2 linked regions of the Rattus norvegicus genome follow. The protein of the gene in region 2 interacts with the protein of the main gene of each other region in a biochemical or structural test. Links are inferred from orthologs where the notes say so. Each region holds a gene or a part of one and is shown on either strand. Other genes may lie near its edges.

What was found.
Region 1: the proteins of Pias3 (region 2) and Mitf form a complex in vitro, tested with the Homo sapiens proteins (2 studies listed by BioGRID). The link is inferred for Rattus norvegicus from reciprocal best matches to the Homo sapiens genes PIAS3 and MITF.

What each region holds. Positions count from the first base shown.
Region 1 is NC_086022.1:131,964,506-131,968,540, forward strand, and holds the start of Mitf (microphthalmia-associated transcription factor), read left to right. Parts: upstream 1-1,234; 5' UTR 1,235-1,366; coding exon 1,367-1,470; intron 1,471-4,035. UniProt on the Homo sapiens protein: Transcription factor that acts as a master regulator of melanocyte survival and differentiation as well as melanosome biogenesis.
Region 2 is NC_086020.1:186,920,688-186,924,929, reverse strand, and holds the start of Pias3 (E3 SUMO-protein ligase PIAS3), read right to left. Parts: upstream 2,803-4,242; 5' UTR 2,748-2,802; coding exon 2,724-2,747; exon of another isoform or gene 2,157-2,723; intron 1,758-2,156; exon of another isoform or gene 1,669-1,757; intron 1,279-1,668; exon of another isoform or gene 1,143-1,278; intron 678-1,142; coding exon 260-677; intron 107-259; coding exon 22-106; intron 1-21. UniProt on the Homo sapiens protein: Functions as an E3-type small ubiquitin-like modifier (SUMO) ligase, stabilizing the interaction between UBE2I and the substrate, and as a SUMO-tethering factor.

The DNA of each region.
Region 1 (4,035 bases), on a different chromosome or scaffold from region 2:
TGTCTGTTAGAAGTTGGCTTTCAGGAGTTAACAGTTCCCTACTTTCGTCACGAGTGTCCTGAGGATCAATTGCAGGTTGTGTTTGCAAATAAACACATTTTACTGGCTGAACCATTTTGCCTGCCCCCAGTGCATATAAATTGCAAGTAATTTTTTTTCTTACTTTTGACCTTGCAACACCATCTCAAACAGGTTTCCTAATCTCTTCTTTCATAGATGAGGAAATTAAGGTTTCTAGGAATGAAACAGACATGTCTAAGATTGCACAGGATTTCCTAGAACAACTGGGGATTTCTACCATCTTAAAATGCCACCCTTAACACCGATATCTCAAAGCATTCGTTGTTGTTTATACACGATGAAGAGTCCTGCTGGAACTAACCAGAAGACAGGTCTGGACATACAAATGAACCAAAGTGCAGCCATTTAATAATCACCTAACCGAGTGCCTCGAAGCTGCACCGGCATGCAATGTTAGGACAATCTCATTTGAACTCCCAGCCAACTGAGAAATTGAAAGCAGACGGTGGTGAGCTGTTTGGTTACTTGGTGCCTTTTAAAATTAACTGAATCTTTCAAGTGCTGCTTTAGATTAGAGGTGACTAATTGGATAAAAGGAAAGAAGCCTTTCAACGGATGAAGAGTATTCTGGGAGCCCAGAAGGAGTTCCAGAAAAGGAAGGCACAAGAACAACTCCTCCAATAACGCTTTCATTATAAAAGTGAAGTTTCCAACACTCTGTTCCAATTGAGGACAAAATGATGTGTCGCTGCAGCCCAGAAGAGCTCGGGGGCGAATAGAAAGCACTTTTATTTTTAAAATGGGCTTTAACTCTGACCGAAACTTTCTAGCGTCAAAACCCCTTAGTGTTTTATTTTTTTGAATGAACGCTCCGAGTGTCTTCGCAGATGTCTAAACCAGGAGGGACAGTAGAAGCCCAGACTGAGTCCGTTCTTATTAATATTAAACAGCCAGGTCTGTATCCTTGAGGCAAACGGGAGAGACACGGAGAGGAGCTGCTGACATTGACAAGGAATCCAAACAGGACTTGCACTATCGGTGTACACCACGTTGCCTCTCCCCGGTTTGGCCTTCTGGGAATTGTAGTTTTGCGGAAGCTGATATCCTGGAGAGCTGGTATGCTGGGCCTGGGCAGAACCACAAATCCCAGAGCGCACCGGGCCCGGCCCCTCCCGCCCTGGTGTGAGAGTAAACTCACCGCGCCGGGGCGGGCAGCGGGCTAGCGGGCTGAGTGGGGCACTGAGCGGGGCGCGCGTCTTGGGGTACCCGAGGCCCTCCCCATCTTTGTCAGGTGCCCGGGTTCTGGTCCAAGTCCCAAGCAGTGGAAGGCGGGCAAGCAGGAGTCATGCAGTCTGAATCGGGAATCGTGGCGGATTTCGAAGTCGGGGAGGAGTTTCACGAAGAACCCAAAACCTATTACGAACTCAAAAGTCAACCTCTGAAGAGCAGGTGAGTGGTGACAGCTGGAGGGAGGCGCGGCAGGAGGCCCAAGGGCCCGGCGCCTGCTACCCTGGGAGGAGAACAGCCAGTCTGGATAGCTCTGGGACAAGGACCCCGTGCCCTTGCTTGGGGTACAGGGCGACCTAGCCCCTGGCATTTAGGGTCCTGCTCACAGATGACTTGCTCGCATCCCAGGTTATCTGACAGTGGCACTCTTGGGACACCGTGAGTCTCTTGGGATGGGTCATCCAGGCTTGGGGACCCTTGACTGCAGATGCCAGCTGCTGAGCTGGATGGGGGCTGGGGCGGTACCCGGCGCGAGGTGGGGTAGGAGGAGCACCGGACAGGGACGGTGATCTGGTGCTACCAGGAGTAATTTTTCTGAAGATCCTAAGCAGGCTGATGGGCTCCGAGAGGGAGAGCCTGGGGTGGATGGAGATCTGATGCTTCAGGGTAGCAATGAACTGGCCTTCCCTTGTAGTCTAGCCCCCCTGGGACATACTACTTAGAGAGACCTCTAAGTGAAGTTCACCTGGCTTTTACCTTCCACCTCCCACAGAACAGCACCCGCGCCCTGGGCGGGAGGTAGTGTGTGTGGGGTGGATGGGGGGTGGGGGGGGAGGTTGCGGGTGGGCGTGTCTCCCCATTCTTCCTTGCAAATGCTAAAGGAAGGGAGGGAGCAATTAAGCTATCTTAGAGGCCTGTGGTGGTTGGGAATGATCTCCTTGGCAGCTACACACATTTAATTCTCCAGGTGCTTCAAGAACTTTGGGCTTGGAGTGAAGATGCTCTCTAGTCTGGTGCCTCCTAACAGTCAGTACCTCTGCAGAATTGTTATCCCTCACACCACCCTTCATTGCTACTTGTCTGGCAGAATTGGTTATAACTCTCCTTGGTCACTCTGGACCCTTGAAGCCCTTTTTATTTGTAATGTTTATGGAGGGAGGGGGTAGTCACTGGAATCTGTGACTTTGTTTCTACCCTTTCGGTTGTGAGATGAAGTAAGGCTAACCCAGGAAGCATCATCACCTCGACTGTCTAGGGTCTGGATGAGTGAGGTCTCCACTTCCTACCTGGCAAAGGGGCGGAGGGCCTCCCTTTCAGGAGCCAGGGAGGCAGAAGTGAGGGGCAGAATCCTTGCTTTGGGAGAGAAGGAAGCTGAGTCTTAACTGCTGGAGAGTGGAGCCAGGTTCCTTTCCTTCGGGGCTGGGGCAGGACCTTGAATCCAGTAATGGGAACAAACTCTGGGAAGAGTTTGCTCTTGCTCGAGCAGGCTTTTTGTACATGCTTGTGGCAGAGTGGAAGGAAATGTGTTAGGCATCAAGATGCATAAACTCAGCCTTTCACTAGTGGCTTCTTTTCATAAAGGCTATTTGTATGTGACCGTAGATGGGGTGTATTGGGTGCTCTGAGTGACACTGTGTAAGGCGTATTGTTGGTTATGCTCACTAGAGCTTTATCTGCATGTGGCTGAAGGGACCAGTGTTTTACTGAGCAGTCCCTGCTTTTGCTTCTATAAGCAAATGCTTACAAGGCCAGAATGAGGGGGAGTGTGTGTGTGTGTGTGTGTGTGTGTGTGTGTGTGTGTGTGTGTTGCTGAAAGAAATGAATTAACTGTGCTGTTCGAATCATTTGGATGGTGGCTGTTACATTAAATGAGTTTTAGGGAGTGAGGAAAGTACCTTTGGGGAAAACCAACGAGTGCCCTGACACTCACGTAGAAGGATTTGGTTCTATTCTTTCTCACAGTCAGCAAGAATGGCACACAAGAGCACGTGTCCTCTGGAGCTAGCTAGCTAGCACAGAAGGAAAAATGTGGGGATGTGGGCATAAACAGCTTCACACGTTAGTACGAGCAGCAGGTGCCAGGTATGCTCTTTGAAATCGACCCATTAAATAAAATCTGTGAATAATTTTCTGGAGAGGGTGACATATTGTTTTTGACCGTTGTCCTAATGATATTACCATTGACATTTGTTGTGTGACTTTAAATGCAGTTCAGGGCCTTCTCATTGCTTGCAATTGAAGTCTACTGGGGAACCCTTAAAGTCCTGGTTGGAAAAAGGTTGTAATGAAAACTTGCAGATTCTCAAAACAAGGACATCCCACTGTATTGTCTCCATCAGCAATTCTCAACCTGCGGGTCGTGACCCCTGTGGGGGCTGTTGTATGACCCTTTCACAGGGGTCGAATATCAGCTATCCTGCATAATCAGATATTTACATTTATGACTCAAGGCAGTAGCAAAATTACAGTTATGAAGTAGCAACAAAAGTAATTTTATGGTTGGGGGTCACCAGAACATGAGGAACTGTATTAAAGGGTTGCAACATTAGGAAGGTCGAGAACCACTGGTATAGATTGTTTCAGGATTCACCCATTTCTTGCCTATTTCTCTGCTCTGACTTTGACCAAGTCAGTGTCAGTTTTTGCCTGAGTTATTGCAGCAATCTCTTAGCTCTCTCAACGTTGGCCCGTTTTAGTACCTTTTAAATTTAGCGCCCAGCGTTCTTATTAAACTGATTTTTTTCTTTTTTAAGGCTGAGACCTGACTCAGTAACTTGTGTGCTTGCC
Region 2 (4,242 bases):
ACAAGGCGGGGATGGGTGTACCTGGATGTGAGAATCTGCTGCAGCTGCTGGGGAGTGAGTGCAAAGGTAAAGTGGGCTTCCTCAAACCTCTGACTGGAGGTGGACGCTGTGGACACAAAGGCACCGTCATTCCCAAGCCCCTGCCTGAGAAGCTACTTGCTTCCATCCCACACTGCTGATCCTTCAAGAGTAAAACCTAATAGGAAAAATTCCAGCCTGAACCAGAATCCAGAAAGCCTGAGAGACCAGTCAGCCATACCAAGGGTGGTGGGCCGGATGAGCTCTCCGTAGACTTCGTAGAAGGGCAGTGGTTTCATGGTGACGTCAGGGTGCACAGGCTGGGGCAGAGGAGGGTGCATGTCCACCTCACGCTTAGGGCCCAGCAAGGTGCCAGGGGTCAGGAGGGTGGGAGGAATGGAAGCAAGGGGGCTGGGGGAGCCTACAGGAGAGGTGCCAGGGGGCAAAGAGAGCAAAGAGAGATCGGAAGGCCCCAGGGTCTTCCGGGGAAAGCGCCTGCGGTAAAGTTCTTTGATCTTCATCTGGACGCTGGGGGCGCAGCTAGACTTGAGGAGGTGCAGGGCCTTGGCCAGCAATTCGTGCTTCCGCCCACTCTTGTTCCTGCCAGCGAAGCCAAGGAGCACCTGGAGCTCAGACACCCGGAAACTCATCACCATGTGCTGCGGAGAAGAGCACAGAAATGATCTGGCTTCAAAAAATGGCTGTCTGCTGGTGACATGACAGCTGAGCTACAGGGGGGCAGTGCCTCTCCCCTCCATCCCCAGTGCTGAAAGGCGTCCTAAAGCTAGTGTACTGACCTGAGTAGCTGACCTGACTGACCAGCTCAACACACGAGGACCACCGAGCCCCATCCCTAGCCCTAATACAGACATTCCCTTAAGCAGATTATTGTCTCTTAGGCTCAGACTCTCAGAGCCCTAGGCTCCAGGGAAAAAGATAGGACACAAGGAAGGAGGATTCAGGGCAGACAGCCCCATGAGAAAGAGGCCAGCTGGCAAGAGGATTGCAATCCACTGCCACCCTCCCAGTCACCTCAGTCCATCCCTGTTCTCCCCATAGTTCTGAACTGTAACGTTTATCGTCAGAGTTCAACACTCCATCGTCGTCATTGTCGTCGTCATCACCATCACCACCACCACCACCACCACCACCATCATCCCCACCTTTTACATTATTTACACACTCACACTCCTTTATTCCTGTTTACTAAAAGGAAGCTACCAAAATTTGTAGGGGAGAAAGGTAAATTCAAAAGTCTAGGTAAGTGGCCAGATTTACTCCATTTGTCAGTGATAGGTTACTTCTCTGTCAGTGAAATGAGCCAATTCAAACCAGAGTAGATTAGATTAAAGGCAGGTTTATTGGGAAGCTTCCCCAAGGGAGTCGCCACGGGTGGGGGGGGGGGGTGTAGGGGGAGAAAACACAAAATGTCTGGATTATATAGGAAAGAGCCTTGGGGGTAGGGCAGCCCAGCCTCTGAGCTGGAAAGTTCAGGGTTGGAAGCATGGTATGCCAGGTAGGGACTGAGGGATGCTGAGAAAACTTGGAGGCCCTGTCCACTTTGATATGTAAAATGTGCACCTCAGTCCCCTGTCTTGGGGTCTGAAACCAAACAGTCTGGAACTACTATCTTGCTTCTTTCCCTCATAGATGGTATACATAGCCACCAGGGTGAAAACCAAGGCAAACTTCTCAACAGAGACCCCAAGAGACTGGGAACGGGGTCCATGAGCACAGAAGTAAGTGCTTAAAGGTGGATGGTCCAGTGGCTAGAACTCAAGCTTGTCCAGGACAAGGATGGTGCTAAGCCAGAAGGGGGGGGGGGGGAGAATGACCTAAGGTTCTGTGGGATAGCTTCAGGTGTAGTTCCCTGAAGACTGTGTTTGGGCTGGGGAGGTGTAGGGGACCTCTCTCCTTCCAGGGCTCCCTTCTGTGAATGTCTAGAAGACCTAGTCACCGGCAGACCATTAGTCTCCCAAGTTCTCTCCCTCTTGAGCTCCTTTTCAGGAATGTGATGAAAACACTGTCCCTCTACCTTTCCATCCTTAGCTCCTCCTACGTGTTTGTATTTCTCTATTGGCTCTATAACTTATTTTTCTGTCCAATGGTTCACACTTCTCTACCTCTCCCAACGACAGCACCTCATTAAGACAGTTCCTTACCCTCAGCCTCCAGGATGCTCCAGCCTCAGCTCTTAAGGTACGCTCCTGTACAGCCCCGCCTCCTTACGTCTCAGCAGCCTACCAGTACTTCCCAAGGCTCAGATGCCGACAGCAGCCCCAGAGCCTCCACCCTAAGCTTCACGTCCTCCAGAGCTAGCCAACATTTGGTCCTCGGGTCCCATCCCTACGTCTCCCCCTCACTGCCATATCTCTGGGCCTGATGGACTCACCCCTACGCCTCTAGAGCAGCTTTTCCCCGCCTGACTGTACCCAGCAACTACCTACCACTAAAAGCGGCTACGGCCCGCGTCCCCGCCCCCTGTGCCTCGGCCCTCCAGGCTACAATTCCCCCTCCGCCCCACCCCTGCATCTGCCCTGCGGCCCCGCCCCCGGGGCGCCGCCGCAGCCCCTTCTCGCGGCTGCTGCCCGCGCATCCCTGCATCCAGTCCCTGCCACGTCGCCCGCTGCGCCCAGCCTGGTCGCCTCCCCGCCTCGGCGGGCAGCCGAGCGAGTCCTGCTGGGGCTGGGGGAGGGGGCCGGTACCTTTAATTCGCCCAGCTCCGCCATCTTGAGACATCGCAGGCGCCCCAGCCCGAGCCGGAGCTCAGGCCCAGGGACCGGCGCAAACTCTCCGCCCCAGCGCCGGCCGCAAAGGCCGCCTGCTCCGCCCCGTCCGGCCCCCTACACCTCCCCTTCCCGGCCCCGCCCGCCGGGCTTCGGACCGCCGCCGGCCTCGCCCCTTCTCCTGCAGCCGGGCGGCCGGGGCAAGTCTCCGGGCGGCGGGGGACACGGTGGCCCCGCAGGGAGTGTGCAGCCCGGGGATCGTGGGGCCCTGCGGGTAACGACGAGGAGGCGGGCCCGAAGGGAAGGGCTTTTAGGGAGCCAAGGATACTTGAAAGATGGAGGGAAAGTATCCGGAACTGCCGGAGCTCCGAGAGATGGGGGAGGGGCGGCGAAGTTGGAGCCCCTGTCCTCCGGAGATCTCGGCAAGTTTAGTTAGCGAAACCCCAGAGTTCTGTCAACTCTGGGAGCAATGCACTCTGGTCATTTTGGGGGAAGTTGGGAACTTGCAAACTGTTGGAGGCGGCTGTTCCCAATCCTTCACCTCCCCCCGAATACACAGCAACTACAAGCGTAGCTCCTGCTAGCGCCACAGGACTCGAGGCTTGACAGGCAACAAAGTTGGGTGCGGAAAGCAGGACTTACCCGCAGAGTTGTGGGGGTGGGCCCCGATGTAGGAAGGGCTCGCGCCGCTCCCGCAGTCTGCACGGCTGGAGTTCGGTCCGACAGCTGGACGCTGCAGCCGCAGCACCGCCCGGGCCAGAGCTCCGCCCGTCCGAGCGTTGCTGCTGGGGCCGCCCCCTCCAGGGTAAGCCCGCCAGGACCTCGGAGAGGGGAGAGGGGCGGAGCCCAGGAGCGGGGCGGGAGATGTTAACTCTGGTGAGCACTTAGGAGAGAAGAGGTTCTGGACTTTCAAAGTCTCAGCAGTCCTTTGATCACTTGCCGGAGTTGTAGGGGCTGTACTGGGCTGGACCACGAGGCAAGACTGTGTGCATTGGGAGTCTGGTTGTATAGAGAGGCTCTAGGATGAGATTTCCATCTGTCTGTGGGAAAACTTGGGCTACAAATGGAAAATTAGCAACCTAATCCCTATAGATAGCCCTCTATCCCCCAACCTCCAGATATGCTTACAGTAACTAGGGATTCCACAGTTGGTGAACACAAGGAGGTACACGTACAGAAGAAACACTTCTGCTCCTCTTTGAAATGCCCCCTCCTTTCTCCAAAGTTTTGGCTCCTCCAGAGGGCCCTGTCTAAACCAAGTTGGCCACTTAAACTGCCAATTTCAGTAATTCATTTCAATATCTATAGAGATAGCTACTTTAAGGCACTGTGCCTTATACTGTTATAGTAAAACCTCCACATTTTATAGTTGTTTGGGGCCTCAGGGATAATGCCATTTGTCATTTGTAAACATTTGAAAAGGGGGGAGGTAAATATTAAAGTGCTAATCAGGGATTGCTAGGTGCTGAGGGCTTAAAACTGTTCGAAAGCTCAATAT